4 linked regions of the Notamacropus eugenii genome follow. The protein of the gene in region 4 interacts with the protein of the main gene of each other region in a pairwise test. Links are inferred from orthologs where the notes say so. Each region holds a gene or a part of one and is shown on either strand. Other genes may lie near its edges.

Evidence for each region.
Region 1: the proteins of KEAP1 (region 4) and ETF1 interact in binary tests that used the Homo sapiens proteins (3 or more experiments, as listed by UniProt). The two-hybrid records come from large-scale screens. The link is inferred for Notamacropus eugenii from reciprocal best matches to the Homo sapiens genes KEAP1 and ETF1.
Region 2: the proteins of KEAP1 (region 4) and CCNB1IP1 interact in binary tests that used the Homo sapiens proteins (3 or more experiments, as listed by UniProt). The two-hybrid records come from large-scale screens. The link is inferred for Notamacropus eugenii from reciprocal best matches to the Homo sapiens genes KEAP1 and CCNB1IP1.
Region 3: the proteins of KEAP1 (region 4) and WDR83 interact in binary tests that used the Homo sapiens proteins (3 or more experiments, as listed by UniProt). The two-hybrid records come from large-scale screens. The link is inferred for Notamacropus eugenii from reciprocal best matches to the Homo sapiens genes KEAP1 and WDR83.

The regions. Positions count from the first base shown.
Region 1 is NC_092872.1:365,679,241-365,686,102, reverse strand, and holds the start of ETF1 (eukaryotic peptide chain release factor subunit 1), read left to right. Parts: upstream 1-3,859; 5' UTR 3,860-3,996; intron 3,997-4,186; 5' UTR 4,187-4,204; coding exon 4,205-4,290; intron 4,291-4,871; exon of another isoform or gene 4,872-4,989; intron 4,990-6,862. UniProt on the Homo sapiens protein: Component of the eRF1-eRF3-GTP ternary complex, a ternary complex that mediates translation termination in response to the termination codons. The eRF1-eRF3-GTP complex binds to a stop codon in the ribosomal A-site.
Region 2 is NC_092878.1:13,988,492-13,995,700, reverse strand, and holds the start of CCNB1IP1 (E3 ubiquitin-protein ligase CCNB1IP1), read right to left. Parts: upstream 3,013-7,209; 5' UTR 2,915-3,012; intron 2,549-2,914; exon of another isoform or gene 2,339-2,548; intron 1,210-2,338; 5' UTR 1,160-1,209; coding exon 863-1,159; intron 1-862. UniProt on the Homo sapiens protein: Ubiquitin E3 ligase that acts as a limiting factor for crossing-over during meiosis: required during zygonema to limit the colocalization of RNF212 with MutS-gamma-associated recombination sites and thereby establish early differentiation of crossover and non-crossover sites.
Region 3 is NC_092875.1:78,242,272-78,249,865, reverse strand, and holds the start of WDR83 (WD repeat domain-containing protein 83), read left to right. Parts: upstream 1-4,651; 5' UTR 4,652-4,749; coding exon 4,750-4,765; intron 4,766-4,801; coding exon of another isoform or gene 4,802-4,907; intron 4,908-5,371; coding exon of another isoform or gene 5,372-5,421; exon of another isoform or gene 5,422-5,486; intron 5,487-5,503; exon of another isoform or gene 5,504-5,599; coding exon 5,600-5,716; intron 5,717-5,865; coding exon 5,866-5,986; intron 5,987-6,208; coding exon 6,209-6,314; intron 6,315-6,711; coding exon 6,712-6,760; intron 6,761-6,851; coding exon 6,852-6,978; intron 6,979-7,070; coding exon 7,071-7,319; intron 7,320-7,594. Other genes in the region: MAN2B1 (lysosomal alpha-mannosidase), read right to left, coding at 295-440, 602-734, 865-1,058, 1,248-1,421, 2,999-3,101, 3,490-3,603; WDR83OS (PAT complex subunit Asterix), read right to left, coding at 4,339-4,405, 4,554-4,651, 4,802-4,907, 5,372-5,421. UniProt on the Homo sapiens protein: Molecular scaffold protein for various multimeric protein complexes. Acts as a module in the assembly of a multicomponent scaffold for the ERK pathway, linking ERK responses to specific agonists.
Region 4 is NC_092875.1:79,704,874-79,712,314, reverse strand, and holds the start of KEAP1 (kelch-like ECH-associated protein 1), read right to left. Parts: upstream 3,001-7,441; 5' UTR 2,885-3,000; coding exon 2,633-2,884; intron 1,187-2,632; exon of another isoform or gene 1,152-1,186; coding exon 510-1,151; intron 113-509; coding exon 1-112. Other genes in the region: S1PR5 (sphingosine 1-phosphate receptor 5), read right to left, coding at 4,757-5,914. UniProt on the Homo sapiens protein: Substrate-specific adapter of a BCR (BTB-CUL3-RBX1) E3 ubiquitin ligase complex that regulates the response to oxidative stress by targeting NFE2L2/NRF2 for ubiquitination.

The sequences.
Region 1 (6,862 bases), on a different chromosome or scaffold from region 4:
CATTATCTCAGCACTTGTTCCTCTACATTCTTTCTAGAGCCAATAAGACTAGACTGTCATTCAGCCATAGAGTCAAGACACCATTATTTGCTCTTTATTCAGCTGAAATTTTAGTTGACAAGACTACTTGGCTTCGGCAACAAGGAGATCAAATAAAGAAGGAACCCCAAGGTACAAAAATATTTACAACTCTATTTTCTGGTAGAAAAGAACTGGAAATAAAAAAGAGGTGCCTATCAATTTGGGATTGGCTGAACAAATTATTGTACATGAATTTAATGTAGTAGAAAAGATAATTGTGGACATCTTAAAAAAGGGATTAGTAGCCAGGATGTGACAAGGGGGCAAGGGATTAGAAGGCAGAAACTATTCTTAAGACTGACATTTTGCTCATGTTACTCTTGGCCTCTTCACCTGTGTTTTGTTTTTGTACTGCAGAATGGATAAAATGGGGAGGGAGGAGGGGAGATAAAAAATATGGGCTTTTTGGGGAGGAGTGATAAAAGAAAATAAAGAAACCAATAACAGCTTTAATACTTCAGAAAGGCTTCTCATATACTTTTGGGTTGGGGGGGGGACGGTGATAAAAGAAAATGTGATAAAAGTATGATAGAAATGTGATATGTGATAAAAGAAAATAAAGACACCAATAACAGCTTTAATATTTCAGAAAGGCTTCTTCTCATATACTTCCCAGACTGCCACATTATTCCTCAATTAATTTCTTTGCCTTGGCCCACTGGATTTGAATTTCATCTCTTTTTACTGAAGTTAGTTCAAACAGGAATATTTTGAAAAATATTTTTACCATCCTTTCCTTTCTTTCTTTAGGTGATAGCTTTACCTCCTATAGAAGCATGTTAAAGAAATCTCCCTTTTAGTTCAACAAAAATTATTTTTCTAGTTTGAAGTCCTTGAGGTTACATACCTCATCTTTCATAGTGTCTTCCCTTCACCATTCCCTCCCTTGGCACAGTTCTTGGAACATAGTATGGCATCATTAAATGTTGGTTAAATAACAATGATTTTTCCAGACCTTTAGGAGAGTCTAGAAAAAGTCAAGAACAAATGGTAAGGCCTAGAAAACAAGTTAAGAATGGGAACCAAATATAAAACATACCTCTTGTTTAATAAATATCATTGGCTTCCTCAACTCCCAATGATATGAGCTAAGAGCTAGAAAGTACTAGCTTAGAAAATACAAGACACCCTCTTCTTCCTCACTCAGGATGAATTAGGGAGGATTATTAGGAGAAAGGTTGGCTCAGTCCCTTAGTGGAGCCAAGGAAGGAACTGAGTAATTTTAGGGGAAAATTATTGTTAATCTACTATTAACTCAGAAACCTATTATAATATAATGAGACATTTTTTACTTCCTATAAATGCTACTTTCAAATTGCCGGAGAGCATACGGGGGGGCAGTTAGGAAGAGCTGAACACTTTGGACACTTCTTTAAACTGGAAATCCTTGGCTTTGGAAATAATCTTAAATTAATAAAATTGTTTCTGCCAGGTTTGTACCGTAAGCTCAGAGTTTTATTTTTTCTTTGCCAACCCAATTACACATACTTATATAATTTTTGCAAATAGATAAGCCAGAATAGACCACCATGGTTCATGGAATACTTTAACTGTCAGAAGACAAAATAGGCCTGCTTTCCCTCATGTGCTAATAGCATTACTCAGCACAGAAGTCACATTCAAGATCCCTAATCTTCCCACATTTTTTCTTCCCTTGTATGCATCTCTCAGGGTTTGTGGCTCCTATCATTTCATCCAGTTCTCAGTGTAAATGAATATATTTTCAGAACATCAGTCAGCCAAAATTCCACTGCATGGATCAGAGATGTTCTTAAGAATTCCTGGCAAAAAAGATATGCAAAATTTTGACTATTTGAATATATCACTGACTTGAAGGATTGTCCTATAACACAGGCCATATAATCTGTGCAGATAAATCCATGAAACTATCCAGTAGGTTGGATTTCAATAAGTACTGTTTAAAAATCTCAAACTCAAGTAAGATAGTCTTTTGGGAAAGGGGCCTGCAGGAGCAGGATGAACAGTATTGCTGGTCCTAGCAAACAGATTCTTAAGTCATTTTTACTGAGCACCTGTGTGTATAAAAATATGTAAAAATACAAACATACATGCATGGATTACATAAATATTGTACACACTATATATACATATATGTATGTATACATACACACAACTTAGTAAACAAAAAACACTTCTTTATCTCTCCACTCTTCAAAAAAATAAATCCCTAGGGGGCATTTATAATCTCAATGAGAAGACTCCTATTACATACCAGGTACTTACTTGTGAAGGTACTTTGTAAAGGCAAAAATTAAGCTTCCCAGCATTCAGGTTACATTCTATCAATTCTATCAATATTATACATTATCTAACAAAGCTTACAGTCTATTGATATTATGTATTACATTCTATCGATATTATGTATTACATTCTATAGTAGCTTTTCCAAGGTCATACAAGATACAGTAACAACTGATAACTTACATAAGCACTTAAGAGTTTTTAAGACTTTCCATATATATTTTACCAAAACATTATAAGGTAGGTACTAGAAATATTATCCCTAGAGAAGAGGAAAGACCCAGAGAGGTTTTGAGAGACTTGCCCATGATCATATAAAAGTCACATTAGAAGTGTATCTTTATACGACTTCCCGTTTCCCAAGTCTAGAGCTCTACAACACTAATTCAAAGTATTACAAAGCGGGTACAAAGGACTTAGAAGATTCAAGGCGTGTGTGGAGGTAGTCATTTCCTCTTAAGGGCATTACAGAAGGCTTAAAGATAGAAGCAGCATTTGAGTCCAATGAATAAAGTGGATATGGAACACATGTATTCTACCTAACAGTTACGCATGGCTTTAAGGTTTGCACAGCGTTTATACTCAATCTTGTAACAAGACCACCACAAAGACCTTTTGAATTATTATGTATACCACGACCAATTTACAGATGAAGAAACTGAGGCCTAGCGATGATTTGCCTAGCTAACACAAGTCAAAGACTGGATTTAACCCAAGTCTGCGGTACCCAAATCTCAACACTTTTACCCATCCCGCCGCACAAGTTTTCTCAAGTATCTTCATCCTTTTCTACTTCTTTTCACGCATGCCAGAACTGCACAACCTCCCCAACCACAGGGCATTCTGGTCCCGACATTTCCTATTTGCTTGACCCACGAGGCCCCAGACCCAGAAATGACTGCAATTCCGCGAGTCCCTCACTCTAGAGCCAGAGGCCGTGACGTCACGGAGGCCGGGGGCGACGTCACTGAGGCGGCCCGGAGCGCTCTCCTCCCAGGCCTGCAAGGCGCCATTCCCGGCGCGCAAGGCAGCGCCCGTAGCCTAACTGGCTCAGCCGGGGAGCGAGCTGCGGCCGACCAACCCCATAGATCCCCGGAGGATACTCGAAGTCGGGCCATGGGGAGCTCACTGCCTGGAAATCCGGAGAGAAGCAGACGCTACCACCTCGCACCACCACGCATTGCCCTCTAAGTGCCCACTCCTCACTGTCCTGACGCGGCACTGATCGAAAGCTCGCGAGAGTCTTAGGGACAGGTTCTTTTTCACTTGCCGTCTTCCACGCCCCGGAAGAGGTGGTAGCTCTTTCCCCCCCGCCTCAACCCCCCTGCCCTACCTCACAAGGCAGCGCGGCCCCAAATGCGACCAATCACCGGGCCCGTTGTTAGAGGCCGCGCGATGAGCCAATGGAGTGCAGCAGCGCGCGCCCGAGTTCCTGCGACCCCTCCCCCTTTCCTCTTTCCTCTGCCCCCCTCCGCACCCAGCCCTTTGCTGCGGAAGTGATGTCACAGGCCCCATGTGAGCGGATTGCAACACATGCAGCTGCCTGGAGAGAGGGAGCCGGTGTCCTACGTCAGAGCCGCCGCCGCTGCCGCCGCCGCCGCGGAGCCGCCGCCGCCGGGGAGGAGCCGCTGCCACCCGGGACTGGGCCCTTAGGTGAGGGCTGGGGGGGGGGGCGGGAGGAGGAACCCGAGTGACTGGGGCCGCGGGGTACAGGCGGCTGGGGGGGGGGGCCCGGGGGGAGAGAAGGGCCGCTCGGGGGCAGCGGGGAAGGGGGCCGCTCTGCCCCGGCGGCGGCGCTAACTCTGTGGTCTTGGTGTCTCCGGGCCCCGCCGGGCCGCTCTAGGGAGGAGGAGGCGAGAAGATGGCTGACGATCCCAGCGCTGCCGACAGGAACGTAGAGATCTGGAAGATCAAGAAGCTCATCAAGAGCCTGGAAGCGGCCCGCGGGTGAGCGTCGCGCCGCGCCCGGGGATCCCGGGACCCTCCCCCCACCCCCCGGCCCGCCTAGCTCTGAGACTCCCCTCGGGAGAGCCGGCCTAGCCTTCCCGGCGCCGCATGGCGGGCTGTGGAGAGCCGGGCCTGAGAGGGCTCGGCCGGCCCCAGGGGCCGCCTCTGGGTGGGGCCCCCAGCGTGGGCCTCTCCCCAGCCCCGGCCGCCCCGGCGTCCACCACTTCCCTCCTTCCGGCCTGTCCGGGGCACCGACCCCCCTCCCCATTTCCTGCCCCGCAGACCTGGGTCTTCCTCCTGGTCTCCCTCGGCCCCTGGAACCCTTGTTGGCCCTGGGGACGGGGCCCCGACGGCCCCCCGGGGGGGCAGAGGGGACCGCCTCCCTGCCTCCGCCTTTCCTCGACTCTCTCCTCATCTCTTCTTCTCCCTTCACGCTCGGAAGCCTTTAGAGCCCAGATGGGGAGGCCATTTTGACGAGACCTGGAAGGAAAGTGAAGTTGGTTCGGGACTGTAGAGAGCAGCTGATGAGGAGGGGGGACTCAGGCCTCCCCCTGCCTCCTATCCCCTGCAGCAGGGCAGCCGGCCTTGGGGGACCTGCTGGGGCTGAAGTTACAGCAGAGTTTGGGGGAAGGCTTTCCCCGCTCCTCATCCCGGGATGCTTTGAGGTGCTGCTTCCAGCTGCTCCCCAGGAACTCCTAGGTGGTAAAAAGAAAGAGTTGGCAAATATGTTTTTAAAGGGGGTCGGAGTTTTTGTTAGACACTGTGTCTACTGAAAATAGTGTACAGTTGGGTCACGTTAAAACCATCCCTATAGAGTTTGAGACTGGTATTGGTAAGAGAAAGGATGTAGCCAACTTAAGAATGCTCTTGTTTTAAAACAGATTCAGTACAGATTTGAGTGGGTTTTGAACGTTTACTTCATGAAATTTGGTAGGAATAAGGGAGTTGTTTGGTTTTTCTGGGGGAACAGGAATTTGCTTGATTTAAAAGCTGCTATTCTTTTTTCAGAGCACAGTTTGTAAAGGTTTCTAAAGTGTCCCATTCCTTTCATAGTTGTAAAGGAACTTTTGCAAGGGGTGAAGATGATAATTCTTTGAAGCATGTAACATTTTTATATACATACTCAGTGTTATATGTATCGACATTTTTGGAATGGTAACTTGATCACAGCCATATGGAAAGTTAGTTTCAGAGCAGGAATTAAAAGTTCTGACTCCCAGCACTGCTCCACTGCTGTCATTATCCTCTAAGCATTCTGTTTTGTGTCCCCATTTCCCCTTCTTAGTGGTCTTTTGTGAAGTAGGAACAGAACATACTAAGGACCTAAGGACTGCAAATATCTTTGTGTTAAACTTTGTTCTTAGTTTTGGCAAAAACATATGGTCATGTCAGAATGAAGCTTCTGAAATTTAGTTGTGATCAAGTGGTTTGGACTGTTGTACTTTTGGGATTTTTTTTGTTTTATTTCTTTCTTGTGAAAGAATTTGGGGGAAAGAGTTAGAGGAACTGGGAATATTAGGTAACTAGATCATTGTTTGTTTACTAGTTTGATTTTTCTTCATCTTTGAATCTCCTTGAATATTCAAGATTAGTTATGGTTTTAAAGTAATTCTACATGAAATGATGATTCCAGGATAGATAAAGTAAATTATTCTCCATTTGTTAGATTCTTTCAATAAACACTCATTCAATTAATGCTAAGGATTGTGTTAATTCTTTCCTTATATTGGAATTAACTTTTAACTGATGGGCCTTTAGCAATATTTTTAGTAGTCACTTGGTTTCAGAGCTGTTTTCATTGTAAAGGGTTAAAACTGCACTTGGCTTGTAGGTTCACTTAGTCTTCATAGTTTTAGACAACAGTTTATTTCAGCCTATTTGCTTCCCTAAATATACTGATTTAAACTTTTTACATGCTTTGAAGGCAACCAAAAAGTTACTTCACTGCTGTAATTTTCCTATCATCTGAATAAGGTAACTTGGCTTAGTAATATTAGTTTAGACTGCTTTCTGCTTGCTGTTTTCAATTCTTAAATTTGTTTCTAGGTATGTCACCTTACCTTAAAACTTTTTTCATAGGTTGTAAATATATCCCCTCTTTTAAAACTTAAGAGTGCAAGAGGGAGGCAGTGTTAATCTGTAGTGTAATTAGTAAAGTGTATAATATGAGTAGCCTTATCAACAAATGGAGTTTGTGAATCAGGGCAGAATCAATAAAATACTTGAGATGCTTCATGGTTGGAAAAGGGTTTAAGATGAGTGTGTGATACCTGAGGGAAAAGGGAGAGTGTACAAGTTAGACAAAACTTTTCAAAGATTTGTTGTTTTGGAATAGAACATGTGTCTTTTCCAGGTCATAGGGAGAGTTAATTGACTTTATCAAAATGTCCAGGTGAAACCCTCCCACCCCCAAGCAAATGCAATTTGACTTGATGCCTTTTTCTTCATGCATCTAGAATTTTAGTCTTATCTTGGCACAACAAAGTGTAAAGTCTTTGACTTTCTTGGATCTTAGAAGACTTTTGAAAGTTGTTCCTCTTTGATTTGATATTTGATTGTATGTATTTGTTTC
Region 2 (7,209 bases), on a different chromosome or scaffold from region 4:
CAACCTAGCTGCCCTGCTCTTGTCAATATTCCATTTATTTATGCTGCTTAATTTTTACATATACAATAAACTGTTATTATCAATTTTTCACCAATGTCCAGTGCTACATATACACAATCAGATAGGCCACCTTCACAGTTAAGGTTGTGCCCCAGAGCGAAAAACTTCTGCATCTAAGGTAGGAACTACTTGACATAAGTAGTAATACATGGTCATGTTACTGTCTTTTTCTGTGCCGTAGCATCCTTTTGTAAAAATGTAGTTATAGTGTTAACTCATAGGATTTATCGTGATTTCTGGTCACCATTCTTTGATCAAGGTTAACTTAATCTGCTTTCATTTCAAAGTTCAACAATATAGAATTACAGATCCAGGGAGCTTTATTATAATTGCTAAATAATGTAATCAGGCCACTTTTTCTTACTGATCCTCTTTTGTCCCTGAAGAATCTTTGTTCCACCATCATTCTAATTTTTCAAATCCCAGAGAAATCCCAGACTCCTTTATATCTCATATTTATCATGACAGATTTGCCAGATTTCATTCACCCTAAGAGAATAAATAGTACATTATTCCTTTTCAACTACGCTATACCAGCATAAGAGAGGGATGTTACTTCAAATTGTTACGGAATGTGCAAACACCATCATAAAAGCAACTTCTGGATAGTTTTAATCCAAATACATATATAGTACATAACATGTTCAAAAATATACAGTAGCATTTCAAAATAAAGAATCAGAGTCCTCAAAAAGTTTATGATTTAACAGAGAAGAAACACACATACATTAGCAAAGAGGAAAGAGTCCACAGACAGCTCAGGACATAATCTCTACAAAGGTGGAGAACGGCCACAACTTACCTGGTAGGTCCAGAAGGCAAGGGCTCGGGAGCTGATGTCCAGAACAACTTCTGGTCTCAACCCTGCCAGCACCATGGCCTTGTATTCCTCGGTGGGGCTGAGCTCGGTGCGAACAATGTCGAGCTTACCAGAAAGGGTACTGTTGCAGGCCGGGCAGACGGCTGGAGACCGGCTGAACTCCCCACTGCCATGCTGGTCACAGAAGATGTGTGAGCACGCGGTTACCCACGCGTAGCCAGAGAGCCTGACCCGACACTTGCGATAATTACAGAGCAACATGTCTTCACATATAGACATGTTTCGGTAGGAATGGCTCTCTCTCGGGCTCCAAAACGCCCAAGGGAGTTCTAAGGAGGAATCAAATGAGATGTGCAGTTAGAGCCGGGAAGATGGAAGGATGAAGAGACCAACAGGCCCACTGGCACTTTGGGGGCAGTCAGCATTCACTGACTTTCCTCTGCCCTCAGCAACGTCTTACAATGGGAAGCCCGTTACACTGAAATGCGAGAGCCTGGGCTCTGCCACTGGTCACCCATGCCTTTCTTCATGTCTCTTCCACAGTCCGGGCCTGTCTTCATCTAGAAAACACAGACTAGATCTGAGCTCCCTTCTTTCTACTCCTCTGTGACGGTATCACAGAAAAGCAGATTTGGAGCTTCCTTCAAAGGACCCTAGGGACCATCTAATTTTCATTTATCCCCATTTTTTAAATGAGGAAACTGAGACCCAGACAGGTTAAGTAACAACTGGCAGAACTGGGATTCCCGCCCAGGTGCTCTGACATCAAACCCAGCACGTTCTCTTCTTATTTATTTGTTTTTTGGGTGACCGGGTGACCCAGTTGGGCCTGGGGTTCGAATCCTGCCTCAGACGCTCTTGGCCTGAGGCGGGTCGCATCCTCTGCCTCACTTTCCCCAGACAATAACAGCCCCGACGTCACGGGGTTGCTGCGGGGATCCAAGAACTATCTTGCACAGTGCCTGGCACCCAGCTGGCACAAAACAAGGGCCTGTTCCCTTCCTTTCCCCCCACGGACACGCACAAACTGCGGCCGGGACCGCACCGACGGTCAGCAGCTGAACAGGGAGCACGGTCGCGGCCGTCCGACTGGGATGGCCACGGCTCTTACCGCCGGGTTCTTCCCGGCTAGGCCCAGCCCCCCAACCCCCACCCCCATCACTAGCCGAAGGCCGGGTTGGGTTTTTTTAATAATTGACACATTTTGCCCCAAAATCACGCTCGGTTTTAAGCCGCAGACCACAAGCGTGTCCTCCCACGCAAGGCCCGGGAGCTACGAGGCTCCGTCCTGGACTGGGTCACTGAGCGGGAGGCTCAGCCTTTAACTCATAGACAGGAGAGTGGAAGGCCCGGAGGGTTCGGTCACATCCCCCCGTCCACACTGGGGAGGGGGAGGGGAGGCGGCTGCAGGACCGGCTCGGGGCCTTCCACTTCCAAGTCTAAGGTCCTGGGACGGACCTCAGCAGGGGGTTGCGTTGGAAGGCCTCAGAGGTTCCTTCCGGCTCTAGAACTAGAATCCTGTTCGGCTTTTATGAAAAGCCTGGATGGGGTCAGGCCCAGATAGGTGGGGGGGTGGGGGGGAACGGAGGTAAAAAGTTCGCTAAGATCCTGGGAGGGAGAGGAAGGGGAGGGGGCGGAGAGAAGGGGGAGGGGGAGAGAGGGGGAGGGGGAAAAAGGGAGGGGTGGGGGGAGGGGGAGGAGAGTGGGGGGGAGGAGAGAGGGGGAGGGGGAGAAAGGGAGGGGTGGGGGAGGGGGAGGAGAGTGGGGGGGGAGGGGGGAGGGGGAAGGGGGAGGGGGAGGAGAGAGGGGGAGGGGAGGGGGAGGAGAGAGGAGAAGGAGGACAGAAGGAGACTGGGGGAGGGGGGAACTTCTCCGAGACTTTACACCTGGAGGAGGAGCAATTTCCCCCACGCGCGGGATGCTGAGGCCCAGGGAGGGGGCGGGATTTGGTTAAGGGTGGGAGAATTTTGAACTTGGATTCCAACACTTTAAGGCAACTTCGAAGCACGAAAAAGAAAAAAATTAAGATTTTACTTGAGCCCGCCAGGAAGAGAAAGCGCGGGAAAACACCTCAGCCTAGAAAGCGCCCTCAGTCGCAACGCGTGTCTCCTCCTCTCCCCCTCCCCCTCCAGTCAAGCTACGCATGCGCCCCGTCCTCCACGAGCCCAGATCGAGCGTTCTGCACTGCGCGTGCGCCATGTCCCCCGCGGGCTATGAGCTCACTTCCGCCAAGATATACCCAGAGGATGTCATACGCCCAGTGAAACTGACGTATTTTGAACGGGCAGAACTCATTCTGTGACAGCCAGAATGGCCTTATTTCCACGCTTATCACTTTTCTGTAATCCTCTCTCGTGTTTTGCCGAAATACTAATCCAGCTCTCAAGATTCAGCCCAAATCTCACCTGTATCTGTGGCGTTATTTGCATCACATATATAGATAGATATAGACATAGACAGATAGATATAACCTTGAATTTTTGCTTTGCACAGCCTACTACATTCTCCCAACAGATTGTGGTGTACCTGTCTGCGTCCATGACAGATGCCAGTGACAAGTTTATATGGACTATCTATAGGGCTCATTGCCAAGGGAAGCAACTTGTTTACAGAGCAAGTCAGCCCAACAGAATCTGGGAACAGGGAAGGGCACTTAGAGTCTGTTACCTAGTCTAATTCTCTAATTTTGTAGTTGAGGAAGAGTATGGAGGTGACTTGTGGTAATCACATAGCCAGGCAGTGGCTCCACCAAAACCGAAATTCCAGTAACTAAACTAGCAAAATGGAATAATTGTCTTTTTTTTTTATTGAGCATAGCTGCTCACTAAGGGCAATAGTGGATAGAGTGCTGTGCCTGCTTCAAATCTGGCCTCAGACACTTACTGGCTGTGTGACCCTGGCCAAGTCACTTCACCCTGTTTGCAGGAGTGCCTCATCTGTGAAATGAGCTGGAGAAAAAAAAATGGCAAACCATTACTGCATCTTTGCCAAGAAAACTTACAGTCCCACAGGACTGAACAACGTCCACATACCAAGGGCTGTGCTAAGTACTGGATACAAAACCAGCTAAAAATAGCCTCTTTTCTCAATAAGCTGAGTCTCAGGGACAGAAAACATGCAAATAATGCAGTACAAAAGGAAATATGCAGAATAAATCAGAGGTAACCAAAGATGGAAGGGACTACCATTAAGGGGGAAGCAGAAATGCCTTCTTATAATTCTAGCTGGGGATGGAAGGTGCAATGTCATTGCTGATGAGTTGTGTTTTAAGTTAACGGATAATTTAAAAAAATTTTTAATCGGTAGTATCATTTGTAAAATCTAAAATTGGTGGGAATTCAAAAGCAGGAGCCTCCCATAAATATGTAAGCTGGTTGAACAACATACATAATGGGTTTTAAAGATTAAGATGAAGATTTCCAAAATATTTGAGTGGATTTGCACAACCAGGTGGTGATAATTAAGGCTTTAAAAATACAGCAGATGTCTCATGCGCCAGTGAATGCAACCAGAGGCTGATTGTTAAGTTTGTTACAAGTTTGAGAGGCCTTGGGATAAACATTTGACAGTAGAGCCTATAGGGTATTTATATGAAAGATCTTGAAATAAACGTTACATTTATAATTTTTTTTCTTAGAGCTCTATCAACTACTGTTCCCTAATTTCAGTTTAACTAAATCATTATCTACTGTGTGCAAGAGACTATATCAGGCCCTTGAAGATACAAAGACAGTAACTGCCCTGAAGTTTATATTCTATTTAAAGCATTGAATTTACAAGATAAGTAAATGAGATAATTTAATGAGGAAGAGAGCAAGCACCTAGAACTAAAATACTCAGAAAAGGCATCTTTTTAAAAAATACTTGAATTGACTTTAATGAAACTGATTTTTAAAAATGGAAGTGAAAAGGGTGTGCATTTGAGGTATGGTTACCAATGCAAGGACATACATACAGGAGATGGATTGCCAAATTAAGAAGCCAATTTAGCTGTAAGATTAAAATGCTTGTTCTTTATTGTATATGAAATAAACCTGAAATGATAAACTGAAACTATATTGTAGAGGACTTTAAAGCGCTGAGGTGCTAGTGTCAATTGTTACTCAGTCAGGTCCTACTAATGATACTGGAGTGGTTTTCCATTTCCTTCTTCAGCTCATTTTACAGATGATAAAACTGAGGCAAATGATTGCCCAGTCACACAGCTAATGTCTGAAGCCAGATTTGAACTCAGGAAGTTGAGTCTGTCTGATTCCAGGCCCAGCATGCTATCCACTTCACCACCTAGGTATTCCCATAAGGAACTATTTAAACTTCTTACCAGGTAGTCAGACTTTTACTTAAAAAAAAAGAGGCAGGGAGACCAATTAGTTAACATTGCAAATATTGGAGGCAAGGAAAGATAAGGACCTGAACTAAGACAGTGGCTGCATGGGCTATGAGAATGAGATAATTAATTAGGGCTGATTATAAACGTATAAACCTGGATGTCATGAATGGTGGTGCCCTCAACAAAACAAGGCAATTTCAGGGAAAAGTAAGGAATCAGAGTGGGCCATGTAGGTAGAGACTGGTGATTCAGGACAATTGTTAAGCGATTAAAGAGATCCTACAAACATTGTATGACATGATTTCCAGGCTCCTTGCCATCCTCTTAATAGCCTTTTGAAGTGAACTACCACTTGAGGGAAATCATTTTCTTTTCCCCTAATTTAGCATACATCCCTCAGCAGCTGTTCCAAATCTACCCTCTCCTTGCTTGTCCTTTAGACATTCTATATCCCATTCTCTCAGCAGTAACTGCCAATCCTATTTACTAAAGTATCTGTCAAAAGGTAACTCAAAATTCCTCTACAGCTTACCCTGTCTACTTCTGTCTTTGAAGAGGAAGTAGTTCTTTGTGTCAAGACTTAGATCCTCTACTTGTGCCCTTGATCCCATGCGCCTCCTCCTCCCAAGGCTCAGATCTGAGTTTTTTTCTTTCTTAATTAGCTACCTTTGCAATTTCATATATCAGTTCATTTATTTCTTCAGATGACTTCTGAATCTACATATTTAGCCCACATCTCCTGAACACCACTCCTCTATCACCAGTCTCCTGCTGACGATCACTACCTGGATGGCCAACTGACATTTCAAATCCAACATGTCCAAACAGAATTCATCCTCACCTGCCTTTCCAAGAAATCCATCTCCTCCGGACTTTTCTGTTGAGGTCACCAGTATTACCCCATGTTCAAAAAAAACTTACCACTCTCCCTCACCACCTTTATCCAATCAGGTGCTAACTTTTGTCAGTGCTAACTTTTGTCAGTTCTACCTCCACAACAAAGCTTGTTTCCATGTCCTTCTCCTGGGAACTGCCCTGGTTCAGGCCCTGGACTACTGCAGTAGCTTTGGAATTGAACTATCTCTATCATCCTCCCATCTTCCATATAGCTGAGAAGACGAGACCATTTTGGCTGCAGCAAAAGGAGGGGGTGTACCTGTTAGAATTATATCACTTTCAGTAGGCATGCGACGTCATCCATGTGCATACTTTCTCAAATAGGGCAGCACAACATATCGGTACAGATCCATTGGAACCACTAAGGGCTTTTTTAAACTTTATTTTATAAATAAGCGTACAATAAGCAAAAATGGCCATTGGGAGACATGGAAAGAGACAAGTGATCCCAACCAAGACCCTTGTAATATTCAACTGTAAGTATAAATGAGATTATAGCTCACAAGCCTCAAAGTTTCATTCTCCTTTGTTGTCACTTTTTATCAATTTGAAATATTCTTCCTTTAAAATTTTCCAACTCCCTAAATTACTGACAAAGGCAATTGGGTCATTAAAAAAAAAATCTGTTGAATACTAAAGGTACTGACAAGTATAGCCTAATCTTCAAGGTTACTTTTGAGAATATCCAGATTTGTTCTTGTTCAATAGAGACCAAAATAGCACAAATAAATAGCTTTTTGAAGATCTTATATGCTACTCAATCTTACATAAAGTGTATAGGAAGGCTGCTAGTATATGTTAGGATGGAAGTTTCCTACTGATCATTAAGTAAATCTTTCACACAGTAATAACTTAAGTCTCTCACATGAAGAGAAAGCAATTCCTAAACTTTTGTTACATATACATGGGTGTAACACGCACAGACACATGCATATATATCGCAAAGTAAATAATTCAGTCATCTTGGAACACCATGCTCAAATTAGGCAGTGACAAAATAGTTACTTATGGGAACTCAGTTCTGTCTACTCTGATTAGACATGCAGTTGTAATGAACTCATCAAGTTCTAGGTTATAAAAATACATGCTGCAGACAGTTTTT
Region 3 (7,594 bases), about 1.5 Mb from region 4:
GAGATAGGGCCAAACCACAATCTCCCTCCACCCTCCACCCCTCAGATTTCAGCTGGGACTGTCTAGAATGAAACACTCCACAGGACTCCTGCAGGGGGTCAGTTTCTGGTAGGGGACAGCTTTCCCTGAACCAGCAGAAGAAAATGGCCCACAGCCATAGGCCTCAGGAAGGGGCCCTGAAGATGGAGAAACCTTGGGGCTTGTGTCTAAAAGACAGAAGCCATGTAGGCTATTCTCTGACTGTCTGGGGTCACTGACACACAGGGATTCTGAATCATGACCAACAGGTCTGACCTGGACAGCAGAGATGTTCAGGAAGTAGTCGGCCAGCGTTTTTGCATTGTATTCTGGACTGTCGGGATCATCCACCACTGGGTAGTCAAAGCAAAGCACATCCCAGCAGAGATCCATGGGCGGGTTATACCCATTGGGCAGGACACCTAGGACCAGGTGGTCAGGTTGAGGGTCCCCACACTGCTCTCAGGAGCTCCCCCAGCCTCAGGCCCTATTTCAAATCCTTCCTTCTTCCACCTCCAGTTCTCCCCAGGCCCTGTGCACACCTGACAAACTTCAGGGATGAAATGGGGGAAAAAACTCTAACCAGTGAAGAGGTCAGCTTGAGGAGGTCGTAAGTTGGCACTGGCCCTCCAGACCTGTTCCATCTCCTTCTGAATCTTCCTCCTCTGCTTGTCTTGATAATCCAGACGGCCAAAGAAATAGCCATCAAAGCCCATCTGTGGGGAGGGAATCAGAGAGATGTCAGGGCCTGAGGTTCTCTCCAATATATGTGGAGAGGGGAGGGAAGGGTCAGTGGGTAGGAAAGGGTGGCAAGATAAAGCATAGTTAGAGAACACTGAGGCAGACCTGGGCAAAGAGGGATGCTTGCTCCCGTGAGTGGCCGAAAGGGTCAATGTGCCAGGCGACTCGGGGGCGGCCACAGTCCCCAAAGGTGTCTTTCAGGAACTTCAGCCCCAAAGTCATCTGGTCAATGATGGCTGCATAGTATGTGGTGGCCTCGTCATTCATGACCCAGCCTCCATTGGCAAACTGGAGCCTCCCTATGGAGTAGAGGATGGGGTCAGAGGAGTTCCCCCAAAGGAGGCCTCAGGTACCAACTCCTGCCCCCTGCTCTCAGGAGGCCTGGCTGCAAGAAGCCTAGAGTGGGCACCAGGCTGCCAGCCTGCCCTGGGTCATGGTAGGTACCTGTAAAGGATATGGACCCTACTGTGGCAGCCCCCAATCCTCACCCTGGCAGACCAGCTGTCGCACTTCCTCCTGCATCTGGACTGTCTGCTGGTTCCACCAGTAGGAGAAGAAAGCGATCTCAACGTAGATGAATCGACGTGACTCGTTGGCCAGCAGAGCTGATACCACTGAGTCCAAGATGTACTGCACACCAGCATGCTGAATGCCATCTCGAGCTATAGGCATTTAATGAAATTCAGGTTATTCACATAGTCACTAAACACTTACTGCGTGCAGGGGCCTGTCCTTGGTGCTACAGCTACAGAAATGAAATGAATCAGAGTTCTGAGGAAACAATATCTTCAGCTGGAGCGGTGGGGTGGATATCATGACAGGAAGGCTTGTTGGGATAGATGTGGGTAGGCAGTGGAGACGGAATGAGCAAAAACCCAAAGAACAGAAGACCACAGAATAAAAAGGGAGAATAGAAAATAACGCACTTTGGCTAGACTAGAGTATATAAAGTAGAGCAATGTGAGACAGCTGGGACAAGGAAGTAGCTTAGAGTCAGTCTATAGTGGGCTTTGATTGCCAGGATCAGGAATTTATACTTTCATTTGTTTAGGCAATAAAGAGTCACTGAAGGAGAACAACGTGATCTGAACAACCATTAAGATTAATTTGACTATGAGAGAGAGATTGGATGGGAGGCAACAAACTAGAGACCAGGGAAACTGGTTAGATTAGACAATAGTCTAAGGAAAAAGAGATGAGAATTTGACATAGGGTGGTGGCCCTGTGCATGGAGAGGACCCTGTGCAGATAAAAGACACATGAAGATGGCAAAAGTGACAAGACTTGCCAGCCAATGGGAAGCTGAGAGGGGGCAAGGAGCCAAAGATAAGTGAAGCTTGGTGACTCCTAAAGGTCATATATGGCTTCATTGGAAGAATGCTGTACTTGGGCATAGTCACCCTGGGAATTACCTGGTTAGCCCACAAAGGTGAGAGGCAAGTGCTTTTTTAACCTTAAAATGCTATTACTACTACAGGGATAACATCAGCAGAAACAGAAAAAGGGAAAGGCAGATTTGGAATAGGAAAATGAGAATTTAGTGCTGGTTAATGTTCAGTTTTTGGTGCTGGTCAGATGCTTCATAAGTATATAAGGGTGGGTGACTAGATTTCTGGAGAGTGGTTGGGCCTGGAAATAAATATTTTGTTGATTCCATCTGGTTCATCTAGGTCATGGGGTAATCATACAAATATAAAACTTTTGTATACCTATTACTGTATTATAATTACTGCTTTTTTTTCTGTTCAAACATAAAAGCAAAGTGTAGAAATTGCAAAGAGGTCTATTTGAGCTTCCTAACTGAGTTATCCCAAGGAGAATGGGAGCCTCAGAAGGTAGGAGGCTTTCCCTCTTGGGACATTTTCACAAAGGCTAGGTGACCACTTCTCCTATATTGTAGAAGCGATTCTCCCTTAGGTAGGGGTGGGACAAGTTGGTTTCTGAGATCTGTTCCAACTCAGATTATGCAATTCTCTGACAACTGAAGCTATGGCAGTAAGAAAAAATCATGAGGCAAGAAAGAGAAAGTACAGGGAGAGAAAGAAGCTGAGGGCAGAACTTCCAAAGGAATCTAGTAGAGGAAGGCTTCGGATCAGCTGACCGAGCCTTGGGGCCACAACAGCCTGTGGTCACTAGCACCCATTCCCTCCCAGCTTAGAAAAAAGATGATGGAGGCTCAGTGACCCAGAGACTGGACGACTGGACTCCTACTTTAGTCCCAGACTGCTCTCCCTCTTACCTCCGTAATAATACTGATCCACAGTCTTGAGCCAGCCGACATCATCGTGGGTATGGGGCAGGAGGTGCACATTGAGCATAGAGGGCTGGGTAGCCGGGCACAACTGGGCAGTGGGCAGAGACCCCCACCATTGGGGCTGTTAATCACCAGAAACACCACAGCCCCTGGCCAGCCCCACCTCTCCAGGTAGGGCCCCCAAACCACAAGATAGGGAGAAGGCATGGTGGGGTCATAGTTCAGGGTCCAGCTTCCTTGCACCCACCTCACTGCTCACGGGACTCCCTCGAAGGTAAGCCCCAGCAGCCCAGCGCAGGGCCCCCAGAGAGGGGAAGACGTACTCAACAAACATGGGGCGGTCAGGGGGCAGCCGCGCCACCCTTCCCCCACCCCGGCTCACTTCCCCTTCTCCTTCCCCGGCAGGCTCGGTCACGGGCTCCCCCCGGGCTCAGCGCCGCTCTCCCAGCCCCAGCTGCACGCTGCCCGGCTCTCACCTCATAGTAGTCGCAGCGGCCGTCCTCGGCCCCGGCCCCCACGCACAGCGCCGCCAGCAGCAGCAGCAGCCGCAGCGGGAGCCCCGGAGCCCGAGCCCGGCAGCCGGCAGCCATCGCTCGCCTTCCCCGAGGGCAGTCCCAGCCTAAGCGGCCCAGCTCCGGCCCCAGCGCCGCTACAACCCGCCCGGCAGCTCAGCCGCACGGCCCTTTAACCCTTCCTTCGTATGAGCCAGACCCCGGAACCGAGGCCCGACCAATGGCCCACGAGGGGGAGGGCGGGTGCGCCCCCCGACCGACCAATCAGGGGGCGCGAGAGGCGGGGCCCGAGAGAAGAGGCGGAGAATAAACAGAGTCCAGAGAAACTTTCTTACACATTTGTCTGTATTGGTTACTACAAGTAGTTACAAGCTGGGGAGCCCCGCAACCCCAGCCTCTGCCCCAGCCTGGCCTGCCCGGGCCCGGGGGCGTCCGTCCCCAGTCTCAGCCTGCTGGCAAGGACCGTGGCCCAGGAAGAAGGGCAGACACTGCGATGAGAGGCCAGGCAGGCGCAGGAACCTCTTCTCTCCAAGGTGCCTGGGGCAGGGAAGCTGGAGAGGAATTTGGGGATGGGGGACACTGACAGGGCCAGGGCCCAAGAACAGGCAATCTTTCAGCGGAGGTAAGGTCAGAGTAGGGACGTTCCACCGTGGACTCACAGTCTGAGGCCCCAGATTTGGAGCAGAGGCTGGGAGGTGAACATAAGAGTAAGGAATAAACCAGTTTCTGGCTTTTTCTTTATTCTGGCCCAGGAACCAATAGTAAACGCCCTAGGATCCTGAGGTCCAGGTTGAAGAGCTAGGAGATTGGTGTCTACCACGGGGGTGTCATAGGCTGGGGGTTCTGGAGGTAGGACATCACCACAGCAGAAATGGAGAGCCTGGGTGAGAGGAAAGAGGGTGAGGTTGGGGCTGGGCTCTTCGAACCCTCTGACAGGGAAGGAGAAAGGGAGGAAAGAGGGGTCAAAGACACTCCTCTCCACGACACTGGGACCCCCACCAGGGCTTTGCCCAGTCACCAGAACTTACATGAAGCTGCTCATCATCTGCTTGGTATCTTCAGAGCTTCGAGAGTTGGCAAAGCTGATGAAGGAACAGTAGACAGCGATCCAGGCACACCACTTCAACTGGGAAGGAGAGGCAGAATCAGGCTGGGCTGGAGTCTTCTCCCTCTTTTTCTAAGAACCCACTTCAAGCCGGAGGCCTGAGTCCTCACCCCAGGGGCATGTCTTCTCACCCAGGTGCCTGACCCTCCCCACCCTGCCCTTGAGCTGCACCTTGAGCATGAGGCCACACATGCTGAAGATCATTCCCAGCAGGTTCATGTAGTCCGGGGTCGGATCCTCCAGGGCCGGATTGTTTTCCGAGGCCGGTGGCTTGTACCTGAGAACACCAAGGTGGCACAGAAAAGGGCTTTGTCAGCCCATCTCAAAGCCCGAGAAGGAGAATCAACATACAGGCTGGCTTTCGTTACCCGGGCTCTCTAGGCTTGGGGGAAACCCAAGAAATCCCTTTCCCCCCCTAGATTTCTAAGTACAGGGAGCGAGTAGGCTTTCCCAGTCTGGGATCTGAAAGCAGGAAATCGTGCCAAGAGAAACAGCTTTTCCTCCCAGGATCTCCAAGCGCAGGGGAGACATATAACCAGCTTGCCTAACTCCGGCCCTAAGCGCAGGCTGGGGACTCAAGGCGTCAGCTTCCCCTGGGAAGGATCTCTAAGCGCAGGCTAGGGAGTCTAGGGACACAGCTTTCCTTCTTAGGATCTCTAAGCGCTGGCTGTAGTTGTGGAATGGGCTTCACTGCAGGGAAATCTCTGAACTTGGGGGGTGGAGGCGGGGCTGGCTCCTCACCTGAGCACCTTGTTGGGCCGCCGGGGGTCCGACATGTTGTTAGCGGACATTGCCGGGCCGGGAAGGGGCGGGGTGTGCGGCGGGGCGGGGTTGAGGAGGCTCGCGAACCACGGGTCCTGACCCCGCCCCTTCCGCTCTCGCCGCCGGCACTTCCGGCACCACACAACTCCCGAAGCGCGGGGGAACCCCTAGGATGTAACACTGTTGCCTCGGATGCTTTCGTTCCAGCTACCGCCCCGAACATGGCGTTCCCAGAGCCGAGGCCAACGAAGCCGGAGCTGCCTCGGAAATCGGTGCGGAGCCTGCCCTGCCGCCAGGGAGCCGTGCGGGCTGTGCGGTTCAATGGTCTGTGCCCTCCTGACTCGGGGAGGGAAGAGGGGGGAGGGAGGGGAGCGAGAGAGAGGGAGAGGGGGAGGAAGGAGGGAAGGGGGAGGGAGGGCGCAGAGGGAAGGTCGGGGAGAGGGAGGACAGGCTCGGACTCTCCTTCCGCGCAGTGGATGGTCGCTACTGCCTGACCTGCGGCAGCGACAAGTCACTGTCCCTGTGGAGCCCCCTGCGGGGGACATTGCTTCGGACCTACAGCGGCCACGGGGCCGAGGTGCTGGATGCTGCAGGGTGAGACCCTCCCCCAGAATGTGCCTCACCTTTGGGGCTCCGCCCCGGGGCCACTGCACGGAGGCCCCTCTTCTTCCCCAGTGGGAACGGGCCTCTTGTCCCAAATGTTTTCATGGGCCCATAAACCGTAAACCCTCAGGCGGCCTTCTCCCAGCCTCCGTGCCCCCACCTCATGCCTTCCTGGACCCCAGAGATCCACGGTTCTCCCACCCTGCTCCCCAGCTCCTTTGACAACAGCCGCCTGTGCTCTGGGGGAAGTGACCGCGCCGTTCTGTTTTGGGACGTGGCATCAGGCCAAATTCTTCGAAAATTCCGGGGCCATGCAGGGGTAAGAACGGGGAGTGGAGCACTGAAGGGAAATCCAAGGCTGGCCCATTCCCTGCCTTGGTGGGGTCCATGGCTGCAGGGATTCTTAGTCTTCTTCACCTCCCATCCCCAACCCTTCCCCATCCCTGCACCAAGTCCTGTCAGTACATCCCCTCCAAACTCTGAACTGACTTGATGTGAGGCGGAGGCCATCAGCCCTTACTGTCTACTGGCCTGCTGTCTTCAACCATACCATGCTATACCTCCTCTGCCTTCCAAGTCCAGTTTAGGGGCCACTTCTTCCCAAAAATCCCACCCCACCGGATCATTCCTCTGCTTATTCCCATAACCTAAACCCCCATACAATAACCCACATTGACCAAACATTCCTCTACCTGTATCCCACGCTGGCTTTACAGAAGGTGAACTGTGTGCAGTTCAATGAAGAAGCCACAGTGATTGTGTCTGGTAAGTTAAGAGTTCTGGGGGTAGGGAGAAGCTTCAAGAGCCTAGGTTCTGCCCCAGCTTCCATGTCACTGGGAGCTGGGTCTGGCTGCAGGCTCCATTGATTCAAGTGTCCGATGCTGGGACTGCCGTTCACGACGACCTGATCCTGTCCAGATCCTAGATGAAGCCAAAGATGGTATATCCAGTATAAAGCTGTCAGACCATGAGATCTTAGCAGGGTGAGTGCCAGAGAAAAGTAGGAAGACGTGCCTGGCAGAGACCAAGCAAAGTCTTGACACATCCAAGCCCCTTCTCTACTGTCTCTCCCCAGTTCTGTGGATGGACGCTCACGACGCTATGATCTTCGGATGGGAGAGCTGTATGCAGATTATGTGGGAAGTGAGCTTGGGGCACAAGGGGCCTGGGAGGGCATAGCTGGGAGCACTAATCCTCACCCTGCTCCTTCTACAGGTCCCATCACTTGTGTATGCTTTAGCAAAGATGGCCAGTGCACACTCATCTCCAGCCTTGACTCTTCCCTTCGACTCCTGGACAAAGACACAGGGGAGCTGCTAGGAGAGTGAGTCAGCCAACCGAGCAGGTGGCCTCTCATCTGTTCACCCATTTGTTCAATGTTAATTAAGCTCCTGTGTACAAACCTCTCCGGGCACAAAACACAAACCCAAAGAAAGCTATGACAAAAGGGGATGATGCATATCCAATTATAAAACATGAGAAATGTTTTATGAGATTGGTGAGAGAGGCACCAATCAGAAATGACTCTTCCAAGGGAGTCTGGGAAAGTTTCATAGCTGGAGATCATGCCTGGGTTGGGACTTGAATGGAGGAGGGGGA
Region 4 (7,441 bases):
TGATGCAGGCATGGAAGACCTCGGACTCACAGCGCACGTTGAGATCGTCCCGACTGATAAGTGTAACCAGCTGGCAGTGGGATAGGTTAAAGAATTCCTCCTGCTTTGCTACCTGGTAGAGGGGATGAGAGGTAGTGGGAGCAAGGAGGTTCTTGACTGCAGTCCAAAGCGATGCCCCCCCCCCCCCCCCCATCCTCCTGGGATTGGACTACCACCATCAGGAGCTGTGTACTTCCTGCTTTCAGTGGGGCCACCCCTGAGTGGAGACACAGGGAAACAGAATGCTCCCAGCTCCTCCCCAAAGCTCAGGCAGTACTATTAAACAAATGAACAAGTACAGGTAGCAGCCAGACTCCATCAAATTATGCTTTTTCACTCTGACTCTATACACCTCAACCAGAGGTGTGATGTTTTGATAGGCACAGGACTAGAGTTATCTCCAGAAAGTAAATCACTCACTACCACTACCACCTGATAACTCCCAGGCCACCAAACATATACACACTTACCTCCCCAAAGTGCATATAGATGTACTCCCGGGCACGCTGATGGAGTTCAGCACAGCCAATTTGCTCAGCAAAGTTGGCAATGCCAATGGCATTGCTGGGATCCAGCTGCTGCACCAAAAAGTCACTGCAGGCCCGAACTACGCTGTCAATCTGGTACATGACAGCCCCATTCATCAAATGCAGCACACATTTCTCCCCCATGGAGATGGAGGCAGTGTAGGCAAACTCTATGAGTCGTTCCATCACCTTGGGGTGTATGCCCTCAATAGAGACCACTTCCATGCCCTGCTCCCGCAACCCATTGGTGAACATGGCCTTGAAAACTGGGCTGGAGGAGGCGAGTACAACCTTGTGAGCCATAAACTGGGCAGCAGGTGTATTTTCGTATTTGACCTGCAGAGTCACATCACATAGCTGCTGGCTGAGCCGAAGCTCATTCATGATGCCAAAGGCCTGTTTGGTGTGGTCCTCTAAGGTATAGCTGAAGGTCCGGTTGCCATGCTGGGAGGGTGTCACCTCCGCCTTGCACTCCGTGGCATACATCACCGCATAGCCGGCCCCCCCAGGGCGTTTGGACAGAAGGGGGAGAGAATGGGCACAGGGAACACCCCTGCTATGCCCAGACACTGGCTTCATCAGGCTCTAGAAAAACATTGCCACCGCCTGGAATCACACACCTGGGAGTGAGGGTGAGGGGATGGTGATCAGGCCCTAGGTGCCAGTCCTGGTAGGGAGAACCCACTCCTCCATGGGCTTGCTTCTCTCTCCTGGGGAAACTTCTCTCCTTTGCTAAGAAGACTATCCCAGGGGAGAGCAGCCAGCCTCCACCCACCCTAGGTGCTTAGAATGCCAACCTAAAAATGAGCCCTATCAATATCAGCTGGCACTCCAAGTAGCAATCCTAGCCTGGGTGGAGCCTCTTTCAAATGAGACAACCTGTGTAAAGTACTTTGCAAAACTTAAAAGGGCTATGTAAATAGATAATAAGTATATTCCCCAGCCAGACTCCTGGTTGAGGCTTCTCTGGTCTGGATCTGAGCCTTGATGGGATCGTAGACCCCAGAGGTCAACCTCATTTTAAAGATAAGGAAGCTGAGGATATGAGAAGTTAATGCACAAGTGGTAAGAGATAGAATTCAAAACCAGTTCCTGAGACTCCAAACTCTGGCTCCAAGTGCAAAAAGCAGATGGTCCCAAACCAGTGTTACAACTACCCTAAATATCTGAGAGATACCTTTCTGTCTAAATAGTGGACACCCACATCCCTACCAGGCACCCCCCACATCCCTACCAGGCGCCCCCCACATTACCTAACTCGTATGTGACACCCCTGCCTTCCACTCCTGTCCTGCTATTTCGGGGCTGGTGGCTCCCTCTGCGCCCCTGCTCTGGGTCATCCCTGGCCCAGCCCCGGCTGGAGGAAAGCCCCAGGTTCCAGCCTGGCGGGACAGCTTCCTAGCTATGTGACGTCGGGGCTCGCGCTCCTTCCCTTCCCGAACCTCCCCCCACACCCTCCCCGGGCCGCCGGGCCGCCCAAAGGGGACAAAGCCGGGGCAGCCGCACGAATGTCACCGGTGGGGCCCGGCCTGCCGGCCCGAGGCCCGAGGCTGGGGCGGCGCAATGGCTGCGCACCTACTTCCTGCCCCGGCCCGGCCCGCCCGCAACTGGCTCTGCAGGCCCTGGGGTAGCCCGGGATAGGATCTGGGCCCCTCCAGCGCCGGGCCCTGAGCCCCAGAACCCGCCCTCCGAAGGAGGGAACCCGGCGCGGGCGGGGAAGGCCGGGCCGACGTGGGGAAACAAAGCGGCGCCGGGCCGGGAGGGCGCCGGGCCGGGCCTGCCCGCGGTAAGGGTGCGCCTGTCTCCAGACAGCCTCGACCCGCGCCGCCAGGCGGGCCCCGGGCTGCAAAGAGGATCCGGGGCCCGCCACCCCGAACCCCTCACAGCGGCCTTCCCCCCGGCCGGGCGCCAGAGCCCGAACCCGAGCAGGCACCGAGGTCGCGGGCTCTTGAAACGCCGTACCCGCTGCCTGGTCCCGGCTCGGGGCAGGGCCCCTGCCGGCCGCGGCCTCCCGCAGCCCCGTGGGCGCGAGCTCCGGCGGCGGCGGTAGCGGCCGCGTTACTCACCCAGCCATGGCCGCACTCCTGCTCCTCCTCCGCCGCCTCCGCCTCCCGGGCTCGGGCGCCTCCATCGCGGCGCGCGGGGGGGATGGGGGTGGGGGGAGCGGTGGAAGGGAGATGGCGGGGAGGGGGGGAGGAGAAGGGGCGGGGCGAGGGGAGGATAAAGTCACCGTGACTAAGCAGACCGCGCGCCCCGGCCTTGTCAGAATAAGAGTCCCTTGGTCCGCCACCCGGGCTTCGGCCAACGGGGTCGCCCATAGCCGGGTCCTCCAGCCAGCGCAAGGGGAAAAGGGGACACGCTTGGTTTTGCTCCCCCAGAAAGAGTTAGGAGGCTAGGTTAGTAGGGGAGGGGCCCTGCTCCCGCCTCTTTCCCCTCCCCCGTCCGAGGGTCGTCCCTGGGTAACCCAAGCGCGAAGGAAAGCGTGGAAACGGAGCTACTTCGTGTGACTGGCGACAGAGGCGGAGGCTGGAGGGCCTCCCCTGGGCTACCTTCCCCGACCCCGGCGCTGGGGGGAGTCTGAGCGCCCTTGGGGGCTAGCCTGTCCCGGAAGCCCAGGGCGTGATGCGACCTCGGCTGGGGCTTCATGGGCCCCTGGCCCCAGGACTCACCACAAGCTCTCGGGATGTCCGACTTTGCCTCTTGGACCGACCCCAGTGGCCCAGCTTGTCCGTGACTCACCAGCCCTGCCCCAGAAGCAGCCCTTGCGGCTGGCAAACCTTTCGCTGCTTTCGATGCTTCGCCCGCCCCTCCTTCCAGGCTAGCGCGGCTACACTCAACACCTCACTTGACCCCCTCTCCTCCGGCCACCTGAAGCCAGGCCTTTGCCTTTCCTAGGCCGGGCGTAGAGAGTGATTGAGGATCCCAAAGCACGTGCTGTTCACCACCGCCGAGGCACCTGCCCGCACTCACTGAGGCCTGAACTTTTGGAGAAAAACGGCAGTTCCACCCCGCCCCCATCCCCGAAACACACCTAGAGGGAGGGAGAAAAAGGAGAGGGCGACTCCTCTCCCAGCCCTGCGGGTGACTCCGGCTCCTACCCAGACGGGCGTGACACGGGTGTCCTAGACCAGGGGTCAGAGTCCCCAGGAGCTGGGTGCCTCTCTACTCTTGGAAGCCTCCCTCTGCTTCGGTGATAAGAAGTGTATCAAAGACCTGGGAATCCAAGGATCCACAGGATGCTGGTGGCTGGGAAGGGAAAGGATGGGTGTAATAGAAAGGACCAACTCTGGCCAGGGCTGCGGCAGGATCATTGTAAATCCGAGGGTCTCAATCTAAGCGGATTTAGAGGAAGATCCCGGGGTTCCAAGGCATTAAAAGGGATCGCCTGGGATTAGGGGAAGGAGTTTCAAGTAACTCAAGGCCACAGACTTGGACAGGACTTGGAATAACTAAAACTTGGAATCTAAGGAGAGGTTGAGACCTGAGCCAAGATGCAACTGGAATTCTCCCTTCCCCTTACCCCCCAACTCGCCCGCCCATCTCTGGGTTTCCAGCCTCCTTAACAAAGCTACCTAGGTCCTCTGCAGTTCCGGGGGCTACCGGGAGGTGGAGGCGCGCAGACGCTAGTAGGCTAGGGCAGCGAAGTGTAGATCAGATTTAGAAACTGAGACTCTAAGGTCAGAGCTGTGCAATCTGCATCTCAGAAGGGTAGGGGACTGACTGATCGTGGTAGAGCTCTTAGGTGTTATTTTATGGGAAAAATAAGAGCAACACTTGGATTCGGGTTAGCGTATGCACAGATCAGCCAGGCATGAGATGGGGGCAGCACAAAGATTTTCCCACAAGCCTTGACCAGCAGAGAGATTGAGTCTTTGGCAAGGGCTCTTCCCTTTTATCGCTTATGTAGGGTGGCTAACTTGGAGTTCCAAGCGAAGGAAGTTAGAACCTAACCTGACACTGACGACTCTGGGTTTTTCTAATGAGGACTTCAAAATTTCAGGCCAGGTTCTCCTCGAGATCTAGGTTTCCGAGGTGTGTCCGTTCCCCGATACTCAGGCTTTCTAATACAAATTACTTTATTTTTCAAACAACAATAAAAACAACCTGTAATCTAAAAATAGTGCAGAAGGAGAGGACTGGGTCCTATAGAGGGATTGGGGAATAAAGTGTCAGTCTGTGACTTTCTGCACCTAAGTCTTAACTGGAGTGGGCGTGGCGTTGCTTGTGGAGACGCTCGTGTCGACTTCATGTCGGTTCGAGGAACGTTCCGACTTGCTGGTGCTGCACTCCAGTATAGGCGGTAGCCGGAGGCGTACGCTGGCCACACCTTCACCACCACCTGGCCCTGGGCGCAGGGGCCTGTAGCAGCAGCAGCAGCAGCAGCACGGGTAACAGCAGAAAAGGCGCAGGAGCGCACGGCGTAGGTCCCGGCTAGTAAGCGTGTAGATAATGGGATTGAGCAGCGAGTTGGCCATGGCTAGGCCCAGGAAGTAATCTGCCTGCAGGAGTACTGGGCAGGCTCGAGCTGGGCACGCTACATCCAGCAGCAAAAGCAAGAAGAGTGGTCCCCAACACAAGATGAACGCCAGCAGTACCACGGTCACCGTGCGCAACAGCGCCAAAGACTTGGGCAGGCGGCGGGACCCTCCGGACGCAGCCCGAAGTTGCAACTTCTTTGCGTTGGCACGCACCAGATAATAGATGCGGGCATAGAGCGCAAAAATAGCCACAAGGATGACTAGGAAGGCAAGCACACAGAAAAGCACGTAGGACTTGGCATAGAGGGGAAGCACTGTGGAGCACTGGGACAGGCGGCCGAGGCAGTTCCAGCCGAGGCCAGGAAGAAGCCCGAGCAGCAGGGACGCCAGCCACGCAGCTCCCGCCAGCAGCAGGGTGCGTCCCCGCCGGTGTGTGGGCGCCGGCCTACGGCTTGTCATGGTCAAGTGTCGCTCCAGCGCTATCGCCAGCAAGCTGAGCACCGAGGCAGCCAGTGTCACGAAAACACCGCCCTCGCGGGCAAACCAGAGAGCGGGCGACAGGTGCAAGGTGCGGGCCCCAGACAACAGGATGTTGATCGTGTAGGCGGCGCCGGCTAGCAAGTCGGAGAGGGTCAGGCTTCCCAGAAGCAGGTACATGGGCGCATGGAACTTCTTGTGCCGCCAGAGGACTAGCAGAACCGCCAGATTCTCCAGGACGATGAGGCCACACACTGCCAGGAAGACTGCAGCACTTGCGCGCAAGCCGCTGCCGGGATCATAGCGAGCCCCGTTCAGTTTGCCGGTGTAGTTGTAGTGCAGAGCGATCACCTCACTCCCTAGCACAACCTGGAGCGCCGGAGGCGGCTCCATGGTGGCCTAATTCCCCACCTCCTCCTCCTCGTGGTTCTTTGCCTCTTGAGGCGCTTCACCGATGCGTGGCTACATCACCATACTGGGCATTGGGAAAGAAATCGTTCACAGGCCTGAGCCCTGGATCTTGGTCCCAGCCCTGCTGGAGAAGGAAGAGGACCAAGTCAGTGGCAGAGTTCTCCCCAGAGCCAGCCTCTAGAGATTCCAGCGCCCCAGGGTCCTCCTTCCCCCCCCTCCCCCAAACCTTCCCTTCTCCTCAGATTCCTGAGCCCTGGGAGTTTTGGCCACTTCCTCCGGAAAGCCTCTGGAGTAGCAGGAGCGAGAGACAGCTTCTCCCCCTTTCCCCATTCTGGGAACCCAGCCAGCCTAGAAAAAAGACCGAATGAACTGCTGTGCCCCGCAGGAATAAGGTCCGAGATGCCCTTGGGGCCATTGTGCCCCTCTCTAGAGCAGAAACCGGCTCAGCTGTCCCTAGAGCCAGTCTGGAGTGAGGGGGCTGAAGGGGTGAGTGGGCTTAGCCCTTGGCAAAGACCTCGCAGGCAGCTCCAGAGTGATGAGGAACAGCGGGGGAGGTTCCAGGGAGGGGATGAGTTGTGACCTCCGGGCCAGGAACCAGGCAGGCACCGGAGCTGGGCCAAACCAGTGGGGCGGAGGCAGATTGTCCCAGAACTCCTAGACACACGCACAGACACAAAAGCCACACACACAAGTAGAGTTGCACAGGCAGGCACAGATCCACAGACATAAAGCAATTACACATACACAAATAAGTAGACACGCAAATTCACAGAGACTTAGCGTTATACATGTGAACAACTACAAATTCACAGATACACAAGTCTTCCAATCACTGAATTTCAGAGTTGGAAAGCACGTTAGAGACCATTTAATTCAATCCTTAACTGAAAAAGGACTTCCCCACCCCCTCTCTCCATCATCCCATCCAGTCTCCAGATTTAAAACACAAAAGTAGAATCACAGGCAAACAGATCTACAGCTCAGTGACACATACACACAGAATTATACAAGTTACACAGCCACAAATCTAAAGATACATAGAACTTGCTGCTGATGAGAGAGATCTGAGTTTCTGAAACGGCTCCCTCAGCTATTACTCAAGCTGGGGCAGGAAATGTTACTGAGAACTTCGATGTCCTCTGGCCTCCCTGAGTCAACTCAGCTAAACCTGCGGCTCTGCAGGAAAGTGAAGGGAGAGACTTGCAAGTGGGGGAATTCTTACTCTACCTCTGTTTCTCTCTCCACACTTCCACCTCTCTCCATTCCCCTAAGCCGAGATAGCTGGGTATTCCCTGAGCTGACGCTGACATTTCTCTTTTTTGAAAATGCCAGGGAAGTCCCTGGAGAGGGGAGCTGGAGGCTTCGGTTGGGACTGGCAGGCCTGCCGCTTTCTTCCCTGACCCCATTCAGGGTAAGTGGGGAGAGGGGCTGCATGATGGTTGTCCTTTTCGGGGGATTCTGTGCCCTGTGTCGGGCATCTGGAAGGTCTCTGGGACAGCAGCTGCTATG